4 linked regions of the Drosophila melanogaster genome follow. The protein of the gene in region 1 interacts with the protein of each later gene in a pairwise test. Each region holds a gene or a part of one and is shown in the gene's direction. Other genes may lie near its edges.

What was found.
Region 2: the proteins of Ets65A (region 1) and MBD-R2 interact in a two-hybrid assay, tested with the Drosophila melanogaster proteins (one large-scale study listed by BioGRID).
Region 3: the proteins of Ets65A (region 1) and CG31875 interact in a two-hybrid assay, tested with the Drosophila melanogaster proteins (one large-scale study listed by BioGRID).
Region 4: the proteins of Ets65A (region 1) and hng2 interact in a two-hybrid assay, tested with the Drosophila melanogaster proteins (one large-scale study listed by BioGRID).

What each region holds. Positions count from the first base shown.
Region 1 is NT_037436.4:6,096,069-6,100,638, forward strand, and holds the start of Ets65A (Ets at 65A), read left to right. Parts: upstream 1-1,548; 5' UTR 1,549-2,403; intron 2,404-4,400; 5' UTR 4,401-4,461; coding exon 4,462-4,570. Other genes in the region: loj (logjam), read left to right, coding at 1-83, 138-194.
Region 2 is NT_033777.3:12,351,631-12,358,048, reverse strand, and holds MBD-R2 (MBD-R2), read left to right. Parts: upstream 1-1,783; 5' UTR 1,784-1,905; coding exon 1,906-3,130; intron 3,131-3,203; coding exon 3,204-3,854; intron 3,855-3,918; coding exon 3,919-4,051; intron 4,052-4,104; coding exon 4,105-5,435; intron 5,436-5,504; coding exon 5,505-5,674; 3' UTR 5,675-5,906; downstream 5,907-6,418. Other genes in the region: CG10041 (uncharacterized protein), read left to right, coding at 5,986-6,418. UniProt on the Drosophila melanogaster protein: Component of the non-specific lethal (NLS) complex, a multiprotein complex that promotes expression of housekeeping genes on X chromosome and autosomes.
Region 3 is NT_033779.5:9,996,720-10,004,572, reverse strand, and holds the start of CG31875 (uncharacterized protein), read left to right. Parts: upstream 1-1,836; 5' UTR 1,837-2,045; exon of another isoform or gene 2,046-2,167; intron 2,168-2,230; 5' UTR 2,231-2,276; intron 2,277-2,335; 5' UTR 2,336-2,389; intron 2,390-3,139; exon of another isoform or gene 3,140-3,144; coding exon of another isoform or gene 3,145-5,463; intron 5,464-5,529; coding exon of another isoform or gene 5,530-7,641; exon of another isoform or gene 7,642-7,853. Other genes in the region: Ndf (Nucleosome-destabilizing factor), read right to left, coding at 2-38, 447-526; SoYb (sister of Yb), read left to right, coding at 3,145-5,463, 5,530-7,641.
Region 4 is NT_033777.3:8,804,777-8,808,092, forward strand, and holds hng2 (hinge2), read left to right. Parts: upstream 1-1,545; 5' UTR 1,546-1,589; coding exon 1,590-1,803; intron 1,804-1,856; coding exon 1,857-2,407; 3' UTR 2,408-2,805; downstream 2,806-3,316. Other genes in the region: CCT7 (chaperonin containing TCP1 subunit 7), read left to right, coding at 1,017-1,243; CG9839 (uncharacterized protein), read right to left, coding at 1-350, 416-722.

The sequences.
Region 1 (4,570 bases):
CGTTGCTCCTGGACAACAATGCCTATATTCAAACCTTCTCGATTAGCCAAATTGTGGTCATATTGATCACGTGCTCTGTACAGGCGAGTATAGACATGTTTTTTGCTTTTCCTAAATTAATAACCTAATATTTGCAGGTATTCTTTGTGCGCAAACTATTTGAAGTAAAATCGAGCTCCAAAAGTCGCATCTAAGGCGCAAAGATACTTTTCAAAGACTTCGCAACATGTTTCTAAAATTCCATCCGCATTTCCAAGACATTCATTCTATTCTACCTGCTGAATGAGTTTTTGTAACTTATTTTATCACTGGCTAATTGATCAAGCGCAACTGAGCAGACTTTTTTATAATTGGGACTACTTATGTCATACGAGTTATAGACAGCAAAACTTATTGTGATAAGTGTACATTTGTGTGTTTTGTTTAATTAAAAGATTGAAGATTTTTGTATTTGCTTTGTTTTATTTGGGAAAGAACCTTAAGGATTTATTCGAAGCCATTTGGGTTTGTTAATTTACTAAAAGCTCTACAAGCTTTAAAGTTAAGCTGCTTTGGTAAGCTCACTTAACCGTTAAATTTCATTATCCTGGAAAGGATTTTAAACTTAAAAATATATAATTCAGGTTGTTGTTTTAAGAAACCTGTTTTTCTTTTTATATGGGAGTAAGTTATTTTCAAATTACGACATTGTTGCAAAGACATCTTCTCGTTGCCTAAAACCAATCTTAAATATTAAATACATGCTGTACATGAGCTCATTAGTTTAAATTGAGAGCTGAAGACATTTCGAAGACATTCCACAACTTGGGCTGGCAAATTAATCACCCCGAATGCCGCTTATCGCAAATTATCCTGCCCCATCCATCGCAGGACCTTAAATCATGTCACCAGGCTCACCGCTTATCTAGACGTCATTTAGCACATGTGTGTGTGCTCTGCAGCAGCTGGCATGTTAATTATATCCTTTTTGGCAGGCAGCAGGAGCATCTGGGTATCTTGGCGGGTCTTTTGTGGCCACTGCTGCTCGAAATTAAAATGTTATTATGCGAGGCTTATCTGCGGGCCTTAAAGCCACCGCAAAACTAAGGTCCTAATGGCCTCGCACACCAGCACACGCTCTTTAACTGTTTTAAACGCCATTGTTAAAATATTGCTCATACGCACTTCCGCCCAAAATGGGGTCTTCTCTCTTCGGCAGCACTAATGATGCCCCAAGAACGCGGAGCAAAGGACCCGGCGAAAGGCAGGAGCATCCACAGCCATAGCCACATCCACATCCACATCCCCGATGGCACAGAGTTGGCTCCGCCCACCAGCAGCCGATGACAGCGGCAGATAACAGAGCAGCGGCAAAGTGGGCGGTGGATGGGGTTGTGGTGCGGAGAGCGCGCCTGCGCATTAGCCGCCGCAGAAACGCAGGACGATGGGGTGACACATCCTCGGTGATAGCGCCCAGTTCCCCTGCCACACAGAGCCACCGCTTGTGGGAGGAGTGTGTCGCCATCTTTGAGCGTGGACTGGTGACTGGACGGGATGATCTGGCCGCCACATTAACTTGGAGTGCGCGCTACCAAGTGCAACACGTCGCGGACGACATAATAGCGGTACTTTGCGGTTTAGATTCGTCGGTCACACGTCGTCAATATTCCCGGGACAAGGACCAAACTAGCGAACCTTTCTTGGTCAGCACAAGCGGCAAACGAAGGCACAAAAACCACAAAAAACACAAAGCACACACACGGCACACACTTGTACACTTACACACGGCAAGCAGTGCGGAAAACTTGGACACATACGCCCAGCTTGTTGCTGGCTGTGGGCGTGGCAGCGCACGAAAAAGAAACAGACAAGGACACACACATGTGTCCTGCCAGTGTGTCGCGGAAATTTTTGTGCGGAAATTATAGAAATTTCGCTTTTTGATTTCATTTTCGTTCCGCTTTCGTTGCGAACCTCTCACCCCTCGCCACCCACCACCACCCACCTTTTGTGCACCTGCACCTGTGCGAAAAGACATCGAGAAATGCCCAAGGAGCCCGCTGCCGTCGGTGTCCAGTTGGCTTGGTGGTCGTCGCCGTCATCGTCCTTGCAGTGACAAATTTCCTTGCATATCCGCTCCAGGACTACGAAACTTTGGCTGCAAACAAAACCGTCATTTGCGTGGCGCGTCGCTGTCGCGTTCACTTGTCGCATATCCGTCGCCATTTTGACAATAATTTCATTTCCGGTTGGCAATTTGTACGCACTTGAGTGAGTGATTAACTGCACCGATTCCCAACGATTGTGAAGTGTTTAAGATTACTAAGTTGTAACTTAAGTTGTCCCGACGGAAGTTTAAGAGACAGTCAAAGAGGAGACTTATTTTTGGATAAACTTTATTGCACATACAGGCACAATCCTGAGGTGAGTTATGTTCGAATTATAGAATGATCAACATGATTCAGAACTCCGACGGGGTCCTAAATAACTAATGTATTTTTAAGTGCTTTGTTGAACCAAAGTTGAAGTAAATTAAAGATAATATCGTAACGGTAGAATTTTATTCAAAAATTGAAAACATACTCCTAGGCTTAAATGGGGAAAATCTCCAGCATAAAATGGGGAAAATATTAAATGCATAAAAATATTTGAAATGTACGAATTCAGAATACCAGACATGTTGAAGTCTATTTTAAATCTAAAAATTTATAACCAATGTCAGTAAAGAATAATTACAATAATAAACTTTAATATTTTGATAGAATTTATTTCGAATTTCTAAGATATTTGTAAACTATGATACTTTCTATTCAAACATTCTGATCTGATAAATTAAATCCACTTACATAGAATTTTGAGCGCTTAGATACAGCACCTGTGAACTTAGATGGTTGCTTTTAATTTCTAACTAACGACAGTTATCCAACCCCTAAAAAGCTCACCCCACCATCATCAGATAATTGTGAAGCATATGTTTCTGCTAATCGAATTAGTAGACTTAAAACGGAAGTATTCATAAACCAGAAAAAAAGCACATCAGCAGCATCATTGGGTAAAAGCTTGACAATTAAACAGCAGCACAGTTTCATCAACCAGTCGGCTGTGCAAACATTCAAAAATCCTAATTTCCTAAAATCGCATAAAAATCTTACAAACCATTAAAGAGCAGCCAAACGTGTGGCCTCTTAATTAAAGGATCTCTCGTCCAACAAGGGGATTACACCATTAACAGCTGTCGAAGAGCATAAACTCGGCAATCACAGCGATACCAAGTGGTATTCAAAGGACTCAGCACGCGCTGCAGAACGGGACGAGCATTCAGCCCATCTGCAGACCGACATCCTGGCATCCCGCTCGTATTTCCGGTGTGCGCGCGTTCGCTCAGCGATTGTGATAACTTGGGGAATACAAGGATACCAGAATACAAAAAAAATAAAATGTCTGCCTGCTAATGTTCGCTGGTGAAATTTGCCTACATGCAAACGCAGCCACTCGGCCTGAGTACAAATAATAAATAATAAATGAGGCGTGTGCAGGCCGTTTATAATGTCTGACAAGGCGCAAAGTTGATGATGTTCTGTAGATGCGACCGTTTCGATAACGAAATCTATTTACTCCTCCCGGCAAACTTAAAGCTGCTGGGGTTTCAGTTACAGTTTTCATTTCGGGTATGTTTGGTGTACTTTAAGCCAGAGACAGGACAAGTCGCACTTTGTATGGCATAAATTTCGTTGGCATAAATCAAAATTCAGCAACTTCCGACGAGGGCAGAGTGCAAAAATTTGCATGCCCCCTGTGTGTGCTAACTGCAGACTGGCCGAAAAGGGCCAGTAAACAATGGTTCGCCTTCCCCAGCTTCGACCAGCTGGACATTAGAGAGCCACGCTCAAATGGCCGCCACCCACGCACAGTTCAACGCTCATACGCAACGTTGGCCCAGTGCAAAAAGCGGGACTGTACACACAATAAATAACGAGCCAGATAATTATGCACGTCGTGCTTATATCTAAGGGAACACTAGCTCCACAGCTCCAAAGTAGCCACTATTAATTATGCCAGAACATCGGGGGGGTTTTCGGGTAGCTAGCTTAACGTGTTGGGGCCATGGCAATTAGAGCGATTGTTTGGCCCGAGAGGCATTCTAAAATTGCAGTATTTAATTGTGGACCACGCGCTATGATTTATTAATATCTCGCTCTGCAATTTGCCATGAGGTGAGTGATGGAGTTTACTTGGACTTTAAAGCAATTAAATCTTCTGGTTTGACTACCAATAGAGTACAAGAGTGTATGAATAAATATCTTAAGTTTTAGTAACTTATAAGTACTAAGTATTCATTTATATTCATTTTCGTTTGTAATTTTCGCAGTTTTATAAGTACTATAAAACCAATTTGTTCTATCTATTACTTTCTCCGGCAGAGTCAAGTGGAATCCCTTGTTTAGCCAACAGCCACCCATCGAGGCTCCCCAGGCGTGCGCCATGTACGAGAACTCCTGTTCGTATCAGACGGCGCTGGACCTGAAGAGGGTATCGCCACCGACTCTCGCCCAGGTGAAAACGGAGGAGTGCCTTGCACTCGGACAGTGCT
Region 2 (6,418 bases), on another chromosome or scaffold:
TTTTGGGTAATAATCATGTGATAAGGAACCGGGAAACTGGGCCCAACTGTCAAGAGACGCGCAGCCAGCCTATTACCGCATTGCATGCCCTCATATTTACGCAATGAGTTCCCAGACGGTATCGGAATGGGGATCGGGATCGGGAGAGGGAGAGGGAGAAGGGGCTGACTTATGGGCTATGCGGCTGGGACCGATGAGATGAGGCTGGGGAATGGGCCTGGCCAATTTGTCGATGAGTTGGGTAAATATTAAAGGAGAAAGTGCCGCCGTCAGTTGGACCAAAAGTTTTGTACTCTCCTTGTACATATTTCTGTTTTCGGTTTTCTGTTTTTGAAAAATATTTTTGCACAGGTTACATATTGTTGAATTATTTGCACAAAAAGAGAGTGAGGTCAGGTGCAGTCGTCCCAATTTCATCGAGTGTCGATAATTTATGCAAATATGTTCACTAATAGTTATGCAAACGGAAATCTAACCGTGTTTACCACCCATTTTGGATTTCCCTTCGAGTGGCCCCCTCAATGTCAGTTTTTGACTGACCAAAATTTATAAAATGCTAAATTATTCGGCTTAGCAACGTCAATTACTCACGTTATTTAATATTTATGTCAGCTGCATATGACAATAAAAGCATTTTATAATTAAAGTTTGCTTTATGCTCCAGCCGTGATTTGATTACAAATATTGGCAATCCACTGAATCAAAGTCAACACCATTTGATATTGGCTCCGTGTCAATTTCGCAAACACGCCCAAGATCTAAAAGTCAACCGATTGACCCAGAGACCTCGTTTTCAGGGAAGTACCCAAAAACAGGAAGCTCTTCGACCGTGAGTTTCCGGCTATCATTCTAAAACAATATTTGTAATGGAACTAAACTGTTTAGTTACGGAATTCGAGGGGTCAAGCCACATATATACATAAGATATTGACACAATATAGAGAATCTTAATATTTTATTCTTTCAAAATGTGCCATCACATTTTCCTCACATATTTCGATTTGAAGGCCAAAGCTCCATACTTCAATCGATTTTTTTGGCGGCTCAATCAACCGATCAAGCAGCAGGCGCCACATTTAAATTTGTCAGTTGTTTCTTGCATGCTAATGACCGGGTGAAATATTGTAATTAAAAACTACAATGAGTGTTTATTTTAGCAGTATGCGTAAATAGCTGCTCCTCAAACTTTGAAACCCAGTGTTGAAATACATATTTCCAGAAGCATTTGTCGAATGGATAATATCGTATTTGGTTAGCTTTTTGCAAGGTGTCTGCCTTTTGGCGAACGTGGTGACATGTAAGCCCAAAAGCGTACATTAATTGCATTTCAAATAGGCTTTCGGTGGCCTTGGGAACGGTGGCGTATCGGCACGTGATCCTTTTTCCGCCGAGCTGAGGAAATTTATGGCACCCTCACTTCGCTAAAATGCATTAACGCACCGATTAATATTAATTGTGCAGCGGGTATTTACCAACTTTAATAGTTAATTTATGGCAGGAAGATTGATGTAAAGTTTCATGAAAATTGAGATAGTCAGAAATAAAAAGTAATTAAATTCAACCTACTCAGGCTCTAAAGTAATATTTATTTATTTATCGAAAGTAGTATTTATTTATCACCACAATAAAGATCTATGCAATAAAGTCATTTAAAATTTATTTTTTATAAAATTCAAAAAATATCGTTAAATAGTTTTGAACTTTTCCAACAAGGTGGCAATATCTAACTATCGATAGTTTGCCGACGCACACGTTTTTACTGTACCCCAATTTGGTATCACTAATTTATTGCGCTGTATTTTTCTGGATAATTTTCGCGTCGTTTCCTGGATTATTTCATCACTTAGCAAAGTGTGCGTTTGCACATAGGCAAACAAAATAGAGAATTGGGTGAACTTCATCGCCATGGGCCGCCGGTGCTGCGTGGCCAACTGCCCGTCGACGTCGCGTCTGTTGGAGCACAACGGCGTGACTTACCACTCCTTCCCCCTAGATCCCATCATCCGCGCCATATGGATCAAAAACTCTCGCATCAGCCTGGAGCGCCAGATCACCAAGAGCGTGCTGGTCTGCTCACGCCACTTCCGCCGTTTGGACTTCAACACTATCCGCAATGGGAAGTATCTGCTCAAGCCGCGCGTCTTTCCCACCGTTTTTCCATGGGGCAAGATGGATACCGCGGAGATCGAAGCAGACCAACGGGCACTTCAGCACGCCAGCGTGGAGGGAACGACTGAAACCCCGGGAAATGCTCAGTCATCGACCAATGACGATGTGATCAAAGCTACGGTAGACCAAATAGTTGCGCAAATCCTGTCGGAATCTGCAGAACGCAAGGCCACGGAGGAAGGTAAAACAGGCAAGGCGGCGGATGACGTTAAAAATACTCCCGAAAGTGGAGAAGATGCAAACAAGGCAGCTGCAAAGGAACCCTCAGGGACTCCGGTAGCCGCAAGCAGCGAAGCCACAGTCCCAGCTCCTGGATCCGCTTCCAGTTCGAACTCACCTTTGCCCGGCACACCGCCCAAGTACAGCAACCCACATAACCTGACTATTGGCGCCCGTTTGGAGGCGCTCAGTGTGGAAGGCAACTGGTTGCCCGCCCGCATCGTGGAAGTTAACGAGACGGAGCAGACGCTACTCGTGCGCTTTGAGCGCAATCACAAGCTAAAGGTGTCACCTTCGACCAGCGGCAGCTTTCAGGAGTGGATGGCCATCAAGTCGGAGCGGCTGAGGCAGCGCCTCAGCAACCGTGTGCTGCCCGTCTTTGAGCTGGACGAGAAGTGCATGGCCCGCTGGTCGGGGCCGCGTAAGTTTCCAGGAACCATACGCAAGTTGCTGGGCAACGATACCTACGAGGTTCTCTTCGACGATGGTTACGTTAAGAACGTGCGCGCCGTGCACATGAACAAGATGCCCAAGCAGTTGCCCCCTGTTCAGGTAGCGGAAGAGGGTGCCTCAAAGTCACCCACTCCTGTTGGAACTCCAGTAAGCTCTGCACCTGTGGCTCCGAAGCGGGCGAGCACAGGCAGCCTTGGCGGATCCAGTGGCTCTTCGGGCAGCAAGAAGAGCAAATGTGCACCTCAGCGCAGGGATTGGCCGTTGCTGGACATGGCCAGTTTGGATATAGGTAAGAGCACCGAAAGGAGAATGTTAGTTTTGCCTTAAACTTAACTTTCATGTTTGACTTTCGTAACCAACAGCATCCCTTGGACTCCCAGAAATACCGCATGACGGCGAGTGGACTTGTCATTGGGTAAATGACCAGCCTATTGGAACCGAGGGTTTTCTGATTGTGGGCGAGCACCAGAAACCCACTGTTATCGTGCAGGATTGGCGTCTGCCTCCTGGCTGGATCAAGCACATGTACCAGCGGTCCAACGTCCTCGGCAAGTGGGATGTTATTCTGGTCTCGCCCAGCGGCAAACGTTTCCGCTCCAAGTCCGACTTGAAGTTGTTCCTTGAGTCCCAGAATCTGGTCTACAACCCGGATGTGTACGACTTTAGCATCCATCGACGTCGTGCCAAAGACATCAATGCTTACGTCTACACACACGGCTACAATCCGCAGCCACCGCCCAAGCCCAGGCCCATGGATGTGTCGATGAACTCCACGCTGGACCAGAGCATCACGTCGCAACATTCTTTACCTTCTACTCCGATGCCGGTGAAAGAAAGCCAGTACATGGAAGCACCGGTGGCCTCGCTTATGCCACCAGCTGAGTTAATGTCGCCGCAGACGCAGCCTGCCGATGAGACAAAGCCCAAGATAGAAGCAGAAATACTGGAAGCCAGTGAGGGAGGTACCTCTCAGCTTATGTTAGCAGATCCTCATGTGGTGGAAAATGGCTTTGGTAAGTATATGCAATTTGAAATAACATGTGCTATATTAAAATAAATTATAATTCCATATTTCAGCTTTCATTGGGGGCCTAAAAGTCAAAATCCAAGACAATCTTTATGTATGCCCGCGCGAAGATTGCGCCAAGACCTATCGCAAAGAAGACTTTCTGCTAATCCACATTCGCCATTATCACAAGGAGTTTGCAGAGTGAGTAATATTCATTCAAAACTCATGACACCTAACTTACTTTAAATCTACAGACACGTCAGCCACTGTCCAAAGATGCAGGAACTAGCGGTCAAACGTACGCACCCCTCATCCATCGATCAAGTTGAGGCGGTGCCAAAAAACCAAATACCCAACCAGCAATTCTTTGCCAAAATGCACCAGCAGGATTTGCAGCAGTCACGATCGTTTAAACGACAGAGTGTATCAGCTACGGCCACATCTTCAACGCCATCTGACATAACGCCTACTAAGGCCCTGTTATCTCCTAAGATGGAGCCACCAAGTGTGTCGCCAACTGTTGAAAGTGGCATTAAACAAGAAGATGTTTCTCTGGATGCTGGTCCAACTCAGTCGTTTAATCCTTCATTGAGTCGTTCCTGCAAGCGTGCACGCTTGTCGCCGTCGAAGCGGCCATCTGGCTCGCGAAAGAGTAACCGCCAGCGCTCTCAGCGTCGTCCCATTTTGTCAGATAACCCGGCTGGTCATGGCTTAACCGAACAAGATGTTGAGGAGACACGGCAATCTTTTAACACCCCCACTCCGGATACGCGCATCGACTCGAAAAAACGCCGCAGTGGTGCGGCAACAACTCCCATCAGTTCCATTGACTCACCAGCCATGGGAGATTCGGTGTCCACGCCATCATCTAATGACCAGACCGACATAAATGCAGCCCTTGCCCCACCACCAGCTGAAACGTTAAGCAAAGCACCACAGTACATCAAGGAAAATGGTGAACTAATTCGAATTGTGCGCATGCGGCAGGAGGAGATCATTAACTGCATCTGCGAGTATGGCGAAGAGGACGGCCTAATGATCCAATGTGAATTGTGCCTATGCTGGCAACACGGTGCATGCAACGGAATTGTCAAAGAGGCAGATGTACCGGACAAGTATGTGTGCTACATTTGTCGCAATCCGCAGAGGGGTCGGGATTCTATGAGATTTAAGCACGACCAGGACTGGCTATTCGAAGGCAAGTTGCCGGTGGCCGCGTATCACACTGCAAATCCACAGGCCACCAAACAATTCGAGCTCTTGAAGCGCTCGCACACGCTGACCGGCAATTTGCTAGATGCCAAGCGATCGATGCACTCGCTGCTGGTGAAGATTAACATCGCACGCAACCGCTGTCATCCGAAGCTTTATCTATGGGCCAAAAAGTGGGACGAAGACAATCTGGACTCTACTGCGTTGACACCGGTTAAGCGTGCAAAATTGGAGGCCCCCGACCTTCCGAACGTTCCGCAACCGGAAGCTGCCATCGATCCGGAGGAGTGCCAGTACCGTTTGATCGAGCATATCAAGGTGCAGCAATCCTTGGTTCTCGATCGGCTGAATGACATAGAAGCCGAAATGGACGGTTAGTATCCAAAACTAATTTTTGTCACGAGTATATATGAATCTATATATATTTTTGAATTTCTTTTAGAACTTGAAAAGGAGGACACGTTGGATGACTTAAAGGACGCTGACATCTCGACCACAAAAGAGGCGCTGGCCACGTTTATTAAGGAGCTCGAAACCATGAAGCGCCTTGCCAAGCTCAACCAGGTGGCCAATATGAAGCAGACCCTCAGAGATTCTGCCACTAGCAAGTAGCATTTCTATTGATCACGGTTATAGGGGTCTAATGAGGATTTTCTTTTAAGCTATTTTCGAACTGTTTCCATAATTTTGCAGACGTGTAGATAGTAACCGTACAAGCTTTTTCTCTTCAAAAAAAATATTGCTATACTTTATAAAGTTTGATAATATAATGGAATTTAAATGTATATTCTTTTAAAGTTAACCATGTGAGAATACAGAAAATTATAATTTCATGCCCAATTATAAAGTTAAGATGCTTGATGATAAAACCTGACTACAAGACGTCTTTGTGACGTCTTTGTATTCGTGACTTGGTCGCAGTTATGTGTTGTTGGCAATCTCTTTGCTCCATAGCTTGGTTCGCCGCGATGTCGGCAGCCCAGGAGACGCTTTCCGACACCCCGCAGAATAGCACACCTTTGTTAGCCACAACTGTGTCGACCACGAAGGTGATAAGTTTCCGCCCTCGTTATCCATACATCGTCTCCATAGGAGAGAACCTTAAAGGATACTACAAGCACCTTTGCGTGGGCGTTATACTTTCGAATGAGTTCGTGCTCAGTGCAGCCCACTGCATCCAAACGAATCCAACCAAACAACTGTACGTGGCTGGTGGCGCCGATTCGCTGAACAGCCGGAAGCAGACCCGCTTCTTCGTCGTGGAAAGAAGATGGCATCCCCAGTTTAGGGTGCTCGGCGGCAACGACATTGCCGTGTTGAGGATTTACCCCAAATTCCCGCTCGACGATGTGCGAT
Region 3 (7,853 bases), on another chromosome or scaffold:
CCATTCCTGGCCACGGAGTGAAGCCCTTCATTTTGGCCCTGCAAAGAAAATGCGCTATCAGAACAGGGAAAACTCATATTGGCCGCAAGGAGGAAAAGCAAGAAAAAAGGGCGCGCGCGCGAAAAAAGCGCCAACGCAGCGAAGTCGACGTCGCGCGCCCGGAATCCACGCACGTAGCTCCGGAATTATGGTCGTCATTCGGATGGAGCTACATGGATACTGCGCTGCGTGGCTGTCAAAAAGGCAGCGCTAATTGCTTTTTTATGCACACTTCACTGGCTCTTTTTTTCTTCATATTTTTTTTTCCGAGCGCCAACGGTGCGCAATTGAGGTTAGGTGTTTGCTTTGATTTTCATCTCTCGTTTTTTTTTTTTTCTTGTTTCTTCACGGCGCAGCGCAGCTGAGAATACAGCGAATATATTGATGAGTCCACGGTCCCGGCTTACCATATCAGATCCTTGGGTTTGTAAATAAATTTCTCCGTCGTATCGCCGCCCGACAGCGACAGTTTTTTATTCTTCGACATTATGTTGTCCAGGCGTATGTTGAACTTGGTTATTTTGCTGGCTTGGGCGGACGGTGCACGGAAGCTAATGGGTTTCTCGGATCGGAGCACAAATCTCGGCGTCGGGATTCAATGAATTTCGGAGATATTCGCTTGCAGGCCACCCGTATTTTTCTTTTTTTTTTCGCGTTGTGTGTGTGATGCGCTGCCGAACCGATATCTGCTCGAGCAATGCGATAGCAGGCGGGCGCCATTTTGGCTGGCAATCGGCCAGTGCTGGAAAGTGGCGGCGTTGCTACGTCATGCAATCGGACTGCCAACCCGCCTCGAACTCGGTAAATTAATATGGGTTCCGAATTAAATTATTTAATTAAGTATTACAAGTGAATATTATTATCGTGATTCAATGCAAATTCGTAAAATGCACTTGGAATCAATCCATGCTTTTTATACGCTAAATTTTTTTTTAAATACTTTATTTAATTCTAATGTTTAGATGTTAAATACAAAGGCGGGCATAAACTATTGAAATTTAATTCCATAAGAAAATAATTTCATTGATACACATTTTTAGTTGGAGATTATTAATAAATTTTGTTTTTTGGCTTATACAAATTCCGTTTAAGTAAAATAATGATAAAGATAAATTTAATTAGTATTGCACAGTAAATTCTTTATAATCTGTGCGATCTTGAGCTCGGAAAACTAACAGTTAACTACAAGTCCGTCCCCTTAGCCGAAAAATAAATTACCACACGTCCAACTCAATTTTTCTCTGATTCTCAGCACTCAGCATCAGCCATATAATCCTCATAAATATGAAACAATCATATAAAAAGAGAATAAAAAGCGATTGCTGCTGTGGTTGTGGGTTGCGGGGGGTCATGCGACAACCCTGCTCGGTAAAACTTTTCGGGTGACCTGGCAAACAAAAGGGTGAAAAAGGGAAATTGCGGCCGTTAAAGGGGTATTGTATTTGTGCTAGGAAAAGAAAGCGTGCTTTTGGGTTGAATTATTGCATTTTGTTTGGCAATTAGCAGGCGCGAAATGGGTGAGAAGGATTTATTGGGACCAGATTGCCATCAATTATAAGGGAAAAAACGTACATATGTTTCTCTAGTTTTGATCGCATACTCGCTAGCAAAAAAAAAGGGTTTAAGTACATTCATTTGTTTGTGTGTTTCAATTTGAGTTGGGGAGAAATTAAAGTTTTTTTTTTTAAATTCCGATCTGACCATTCCGATAAAAGTTGATATCGAGCTTATCTTAAAGCTTAAAACATCGATTAATTTGGAAGGCAAGAATTAGTTTCCTGCTCTTCTTCATTCTAGCTGTGCAAAAAAAGTCGGTTCCGTTGACCAATAATAGCAAATATTTATTATTCTTACTCAAGTATAATAGATTTATATGTGAACTATTGGTCGTAACTTAACTTTTTTCTGACTTCCAGACGAAAGTGTCTTGAATCTCAAGTTCCGTTCTTGTTTACGATCTTCCAATTGTGCTGACACTTTGAAAATAGCCGCTTCTCTGTTTACAAGTGGGTATGTACATGTATGCGTGTGTGAGCATGTTGTTTGGAATTGGTTGGAATATTGGAAATGATTGCCAATGGAATTCAGTCGGTTTCGCGCATATTGAAAGTTGGAACGTAGGATTTTAGTAATATGTATTTATTTCTAACTAAAATTATGTTTGCTAATTTACATTTGATTTGACTTTCAGAAAATATTGGACTGGATTGCATTTTGGATTGAAGACCCTTAACTTGGTATATTATTGTAAACATAATATAAAATTGTACGTAATACTATTAAAATATCTTTGCAGCTGTTCAACTGAGGCGATGTACAACGGCGCTACATCCAATTCCGATTCGAGTGAGTAGATTCCAAGTGATCCGATTATCATATTATTTTCCTGCATTATCCTTGATTTTTTTTTATGAAAACCACTCACTTTATCAAGGGATAATTTGGGGTGGATCGTATCGATCCAATTGCTTAGACAATTAATACCCTATTCACTTGCGCACATGTTAAAGGAACTCAAATAATGCAGAGCATTTACTTATTTAGAGGCCTTAGAGAACATCTCGGGCAATTAAAGTGTTGATAGAACAACAACTAGCAGCACGCTCCAGTGCCGTTTGTGGAGCACCACTTGCCACACCACAAGGAGGCTGTGGGGTGGAGGCACTGCAGCAGCATCTAGTGCAGCGCAAACAAACAGCAAATAGGCACAAGGACCTTCTTACTTGCGGCTTAGCCAGTTGCTTTGTTTTCCCATTTGAAAGCTGCAGATGCCGTCGCAATTGCCGCACTTGCTTTCGCTTTTGCACAACTTAAATTAGCTAATTCACTCCCTACTAAATCACAATCCCAATCCGCAAATTTAATCCTGTGGCTGGCTTCACAAATTTTTGGCTCGCTTTGGGCAAAGTTTTCTGACGCGCAGAAATTTCCACATGAGTGAACAGGGAAAAGTTAGGCGGACTTTAAACTCAACTATGTGTGTATATTTAAACAGTTAATTTTTGCTGCTCAATTTACCAAAAAAAATGTATTTGAATCAATTTTTCCAACATTTTAAAAACTTATAATTAAAACCAATTCCCATCCATTACAAACGTAGAAAATATGGAACACCAACTGGATCCTGACCAGGAAGAATCCATTCTGATAACGCATTTCGTAAATCCCCACCAATTCAGCTATGTGAGATGCATAGATGTGGAGAACTCAGCAATGTTGGTTCGCCAAATAGAGCAGGATTTGAAGGATTACTGCAGCAGTGAAAGGACAAAACAGGTTTACGTGGAGGATGAGAGAGTTATTGTGCGCTACCAGCGATGGAGTCCACCCAAGCTCGTGAGGGGTGTGGTGCGCAGGCGGCAGAACGAGGAGTACCTGGTCTGGATCCTGGATTACGGATTTAACCTCTGCTGTTCTGTGTGGGATTTGTGGCCGCTGCCTGACCATTTGAGTCGCAGTTTATGCGACTTTAAAGAGGGTGGTGTGGCCTTGATTGCTCCGCATTCTGGCAGTGTCTGGTCCCGATCCGCCATTGAGTCCTTGGACAAACAGCTAGAGGATGCCAATCAGCTCACATTTCAAGTCGTACATCGTGGCAAATCGAATCGGAATTTCGGGCTGCTTAAGTTCAGATCATCATGCCAGACTGAGGATGCTGCAAACTTTCTAATAAAGCAGGACCAAGGACGCTGCAAGGAAACCTTAACCATGGCCATCCCTTACGAGGATATAAGCTTTGAAAAGGCTGAGATCAACGACATGGCGATCGATACACGTCCGCGTCTAAGAAGAATACTTGAACTAGTAGTCTTATTGTCGGAGAATGCTAAAGAATCGACACCAACCCCTTCTGCAATTCAACAGAAAAAGCTAGATGCCCTGCTACAGAGCCACGAGACCTATCTTATACCAAACTCCGTAAAACTCCTGAGCAAGGTTCAAAGTATCAGCGAAAGTTCGATGCAAACTGCTCTGGCTAATAGATCAAAACAAATTAGCAAAGAATTACCCCATAAAGCCAATCAATCAGAAGATAATAGAAAAAAGGAGGTAAAATACCTAGAATCTGAAAATTTATCAGAATGTTTATCAAAAGTCAAGCTTTCATCATATCAGCAAAAGAATACCGATTCATCAACCTTGAGTGGACCAAGAAATCTAGCCTCTTCATCTACAAATTCAAACTCCAATGTTCGCAAATCGATGACATTATTTAAATCATCAGGAGCACACTTAACTACTTCGTTATCCGTACCTTTAACCGAAAATTGTACTAACCAGTCGAATAATCGAACAGTAGTATTTTCAATGGATAAAATGGAACAAATATTTAATGACATGCTTGGTAAAAACCCATCCGAAAGAAGTGTACAAAAAAATCGAAGCCAGATGCCAAATTCTAATGTTTCAACAACAAAAAGATGTGTAGAAAAGATGCACGTATGCCGCTCAGAAAACATGGGTGATAGGAAGCCAAGTGTTTGTTTGAAGCATCTAGTGCTGGCCCATAGTCCCGAGCCAGTGAATCCTGTCACTAGTTACAAGGAGTTACCTTTGGGCAATACTATCCTGAACGCCATGGATGACTTAAACTTCCAAACACCTTTGCCCACTCAAATTTACGCCTGGCCGCATCTCGTGAACCGCGGATCCCTGGTGCTGGTCAATCCCTCCGGAACGGGTCGCTCTTGGAGCTATCTTCCTGTGATTTGCTCTTCAGTTTTGAGCTCCTTTGAAAATGTAACTTCAAACCTCGATACTCGGATTGCACCGGGTCCACTGGCCATACTGATAGTGGATTCTGTAGAGAACGCCAAGAAGTTGGCTTCCCATTGCGAATTCCTAATGAAAGATTTTAATACCCAAAATCTTAAGGTGGTCAATACACATGCTCATTCCATGATGGATGTGTACATGATGCTACTCAATTCGTGCGGTGTTTTAGTGACAACATTGGCGCACTTAAACAATATATTGTCCAACGAATTGCCATTAGTAAATCCAACTAGATTAGAGTTCATAATCTTCGATGATTACGATCGCAAGCGACTGGATAACGCGGAACTCCTGAAGGAAGTGTTTCAGAAAGTTAATAGCATCGGTGGCCTATCAAAGCAGTTAGTTCTCGTAGCTCAACAATGGCACTCCGAGAGATTTCAGAAGCTTTTAAATCGTACAACGAAGCCATTGATACTATTTGGGGACTTCTTAGAGGCCGCCCTTTACGGAGGTCTCAAATTTAATGTAACTCTTCGCAGTTCCGCTTTGAAGGCACGGCAGCTTCTCGATATCCTGGCAGAACAGGATGGTTCGAAAAAGCGCACATTGATCTACTGCAAAAATCAGATGGAGCTGGAAGAACTAAGTGCGATCTTAATAGAAGCCGGACTTCAATGTGTGGATATTTCAAAAGCACAAAATCAGGTACAAAATCAATACAGAACATATTGGCTAAAATATTAATCCAAAAATTCGACCAAACTCTTTCAGAGCCCTAATCGGTTGATGCTTGTCGACGATAGCCAGGTCCGGAAACAGTTGCCAGTGAGAAACATTCAGCTGCTTATCCATTTTAGTCTCCCGGAATCGTGGTTAAGATTTTCGAGGCGATTCCACACAATGGCAGACAACATCCGGAATTTATTCACAAAGCCAATTGGAAGAGGGCAAGATTTAATTACTTACATATTGATGGATGAGAATAACGCCAAGGAATGGCCTCGTATCATGAAGTTCTTGCAGGATCACGGTTTGACCACCCAGTCTATGCCCGACAGTGAGCAGCAATTGGATAACACTCTTCCCTACTGCCCATACAAACTGAGTAATGGTAATTGCAATCGAAACCAGTGCAACAAGCGCCATCACTTTCTTAAGACTGATCTTCCGAAGATTGGAAATCCTCTCCTCCAACCGGGTACCCTGATTCGTTGCAAGTTCCTCAAAGCCTATGACCCCGCTCATATGGCTGTCATGCCCATGAAGTATAAGTCCAAAGACTCAACCATTTGGATCGATGTGCCTTATCCTTCATATCCATCGACATTAGTCTTCAAGATGAGCTTCGGTGTGCCACGAAAGGTACACAACCCGTGCAAAATAAACGATGTGTGCTTTGTGCAACATAAGGAACTTTTAAGCCGGGTTAGGATTGTTGACAATCCTGCCAGACCTCAAGTCACTGTTCAGTTGATGGATTATGGAACTGAGCTACTGCAGGTCAAGGCCAGTCAGCTGCTGGAGTGTCCGGAGCAGTTTAGAGACCTGCAACAACTGGCTATGGATATTCGTTTGTCGGGATTGGCTGGATCAGGACAAGGTGGGATGTGGTCAACGGATTCCATTCAATGGGTGCAGGACAGGTTTGCTGACATCAACGAAGAGATCATGCAAATAACCGTCGATTTTGGAGTTCTGGATGTGGCCTACGTCAAGGAAATAGCTTTGATAGAGGAGTGCCCAACAATGCTGACGAGTGTCTACAAAACGTTTTTGCGCAAGGAACTGCTCCGACAAGGATTCGCCAAAATTGACAGCACAAGCATCCTAGAGCTCCGAGCAATCCATGAACAATGGAAACAAGAAATGGAAGAACTAAGAGCCAACAAAGAAAACATTGTATGTAGCTCAACTGATTTGGATAATCGTGACAGCAAAATAACTTCTCTGCAAAACAAACAAGCGACGTGTTCTTCGGGAAAAGAAGAAGACCTCAATCCGGTTGAAACTCCCTTAATAATAGCATCACCCAATAGCAATGAAACTCTGGAGGAAAGAAAGCACGTGTCAGATAAAGTTCAAAATAAAATTGACGAATTAAATGATTTTAACAAATCCGTGGAGATAGAACACGTCCAAGACGCTTCACCACTAGACAGTTCCACTGCCTTAATAAACACTTTGATTCACGAGCTTAACACTAAAAGTCCGACAAAGAAAAAGAATACACAAGAATTCATAAAAAACATAGTACATGAAGATGAGACTCAGTCAATCCATCATGAAATATCCTCCTCTACCAATTCTTTAAAACAAGATAAAACGATAGTGGTTGGTCCCCAAGATCCTCCAAAGGAACTTTTTCTACAGTACCTAAACTGCGCAACAAAATCTAGGGAATCAGTATATCCTATGGTTAAATGGCACCAGACACTAACCCATATCGAACTTGTTGTTGAACAACAGATGTTGGAGTATAAGCTTGGTCTAGATGGAAATACATTAGAATACAAGGTTAATGAGACGACACCTCCACAACGATTTATCCTAAATCTGCTGGGAGAGGTGAGGATCGACTCGGTGAAGCAACACGGTTATTACCTACATATCAAATTGACCAAGGTGGGTCTACTCTTCCACTGGCCAACTCTTCTCAACTCGCTCTATGTTCAAAAACATGCTCACTGGCTGATCTACGATTCGGAGCGTTCCCATGGACCTCCACCATCATTTGGTTTGGTCCTTTGGGAAGGGTACTTGACGCACAAGAAAACAAAGAGCTACTCCGATTCTGAGAGCAGTGAGTTCAGTTCCACCCCAGAGGACTTCATCGAGCCAGGGGTGGAATACTGCGAAATGGACTCGAACCTATATGAAGATTAACAGCATTTTAGGGTTGTCAATTACTTTGCTTTCTAAGTTCACTTTAAAAACCAAACTAAATTTCTCTACGAGTTAAGTTTCAGTTACTATTTGAGTTTGTATTGTCAATTTGATCTTAGGTAAACCCAGGAATGGGTTATGTAGGTAAATTAAGGAACCCAATGTTATAAGTGATAATTTAAATTCTGTGCCGATAGGTTTTGAGATAAATT
Region 4 (3,316 bases), on another chromosome or scaffold:
CAGAGGAATCTTCCCAGAGAATCCGACGAGACCGTAAAACATGTTAGTGCTCCAGTAATCCGATAGGTGCTCCAGCTTCAGGTCACACATAAGCAGGGAAAGCGCCATAAAGATTTCCATTTCTTCGGCAGTTGTGGGATTGGACTTGAGCTCTCCTCCCTTTAGGTTGCAGCTTTGGGCCAGGGAACTGAAGAACTTGGAGCGATTTCCCAGCACTTGGTTGAAGTAGTGCTGTGGTCCCTGGAAGCGTTGTCCGAATTTCAGGCCACTCTGCTGGATGGGAAATTTGAAGAGCAGTCGGGAACCCGTCTGCTGGCTGGACCAATCTGGATCGTAGTCATCCATATCGTCTGGGTTTAAAAAGGATAATTTTATAAGTGGGGTCTTGAAATGACGGGAGGAGCACCCTTCTTACCCTGACAGAAGACATCTTCAGCTTGGTAATCGAGCTCTGAGTAGCCATCCTCGTCGGAATCACTCTCTTGCTGTTCCAATTCCAAGCGAATGGTGTTGCTGGCCGCCTGCTGCTCCGCCACCAGCTGCAATTGGAGTTCAGTGAGATCCGGCTTGATATCGGCCGTACTTAAATCGTAGTCTGCTAGCGCCGGATAGCCGTCCAAGGGTTCCGACTTGATGTCCACACTGCGTCGCTTCACCGGCGACCGGTGATCGTCCTGACGCGGCTTAAGTTGCTGCTTGCGCTTTCTTCCGGAGCTGGACATTTCGTTTGGCTGCGTTTTCTCTTCCAAATAATGTAAATACAGAGGAAATTTTAGCCGCAGCAACGCGTGTTTTTCTTCGACCTCACTGTCACTCGTCCTCTCTCACTCGAGTCACATGTGCTGTATGTTGTGCTCTTTCGCACCTTCTCAATTCGTTTATTGCGCGGGCTGTAAGCGGCGTTGCCACCTGAACGAAATGTTACCTGCAAAAATCGTTGGCGAATTCAAATCGGTCGTGTAATTTTGAACTCTAATTAATAATTATTATAATTTTATACATTTACCTTTTTACAGGAGGACAGTGGTACGGCGTCGACATCAACAAGGAAGACATTTCGGACAACTATGAGCAGTGCGTCTGGGAGCCGTCCATCATTAAGATCAATGCACTGACGGCGGCCGCCGAGGCAGCCTGCATGATCCTTTCCGTCGATGAGACAATAAAGAGTCCCAAGGCCGGAGAACCCCCGATGGCCGGCGGTGGCATGGGAATGGGCCGCGGAATGGGCAGGCCCATGTAAATAGAATCATTCAGAAATCCAGAGAACACTACACCCTAATCATCAAAACTCACTTGCATTTCTCTCCTAATTTAACACGTACACGTATTACTCGGTCATACCTTCGCATTTCGCACGCTTCGAAGCAAGAACAACAGCAACAATAATCCACTGACCTATCTGTATATGTTTAATAATAAAACACAAAATTGAAATTTGTATTTTCATAACATCAGAACGTTTTTAGTTTAAATGCGGGGCGAGGTGGCAACTCTGCGGGGAGTGCTGTTAAGCAGCTGCCCGTGGTGCTGTTAAACGCAAGCAACATATTGTCAATCCAATCCAACCCTTAAATAAACAATAAATAATGGGCAATCATAAAGTTCTTCGATCGGCAGGAAGCAATTTGCGCTATTCGATGTACGAGTTCATTGACGCGGTACACAAACGTTCTATTATATGGGAACGAAGCCACCCAAACTTCCATAACCGCGAACTCAGAGATGAGGCCTGGCAGCAAATTGGCCACGAGCTTTGCTCGAATTTTGACGACTCCAGCGAGCCGGAGAAGCAGGAAATAGGTAGGTGGTGGCTACCTTTTTGAGTCTATATCATACATAACTTCCAATTCCAGTTAAAACACTGCTCAAACGTTGGAAAAACACGAGGGACAGCTACCTACGGGTCAACCGACTACGTCAAAGTGGCGAGGAGGTGGCCAGAGCTTCCTACATCTACGAAAAGGAACTGAGTTTCCTGCTGAACGTGAAAGCAGAGTCGGAGGACGATGTAGAATCCTTGAAGGAGCAACCCAAGCCCCAGGCCAAACGGAAGCGAGTGAGCACTGCCGCACAGAGATCTGCAAAGACTCCACGAAAGAGAAACTCCGACCAAGAATCGAATATTGAGCCTGCCATCCGCAATCCAGCCATACCAAGCAACATAAATACGGTTCTGGGAGATCTGGGCTGCGCCAAGGAGGACACCGCCACTCCGGAAATCGCATATATTCCACAGTTACCATCAGATCCACCCTGCAGTACAAATACCGCCTACTTGTCCGCCGATCCTGATCAGGCCTTCTTCGACACCATTAAGCCTCACATGCAGCAGATGTGCGCCGATCGCAAGCTTGACTTTCAGATCGAGGTCCTGAAAATCCTACGAAACTTCAAGCCGAATTGAATATTCACTACAGAAGTCAAATCATTTACAAATGCATTTACAAGAAGGGCAAAATTCGTTTAACAGCAAGTTAACATAAGCAATAAGAATACATTTAATCGTTATCGTAAATCGTCTAATCTTTAGGGCGCGAAATTTAAATAATGAACTGTAATTTGTAATTTAATATACAAACAATAATATTCACAAACCAGGGGTTAAACTTTAATGCAACCAATGATTCAATTATTTTTTTTAGTTCTTAATAATGCGTCAAATAGTTTTCTCATAGTAACTTCTGTGTTTTGCGCAATGTATATATTATACGCTTACTTTTGTAATTTTTGATAATAATACAATAGTTGTAGAGTTATTTAAGACAATGAAAAAAACATTAAAAACAACATTAAATAATGTATAAAAAATATGCATTTTATTTTGTTTTAAACCATAAATTATCTAACGACGGCAATATATTTTTATACGTGGGTTTCAATATCAATTTCATACAACATGGATTTGTATGGAATTTCATATGAATATATATGCTCATATGTATATTAACTATGTATGCAAGCAAATTGTCCACATGTGTAATTGATATTTTTACATAAATCCCATGTTCTGTTATTCATCCCCCTAGCCACTACTTTCTTGGGCCGGATGCTGTCTCAATACATATTTATCGCCTGCAGCGAAATTTTAGTATAAACATAAACTGTCAAAACGATACATAAGCCATCGGATGGCCCATGTTCCAAAGCCGTTTGACCAGTTTCGGCTGATGTTGATACAAAAAAGAGTTGAAACCTGTATTCATACAGCTTGTACCTCTTATGCCAATCGAGTTTTCATTATGTATACCGATTTCTTCATGGTTTTTGTTCAACACAAAGGCACATTTATGGATTGTACGAGCGTATTTATAAG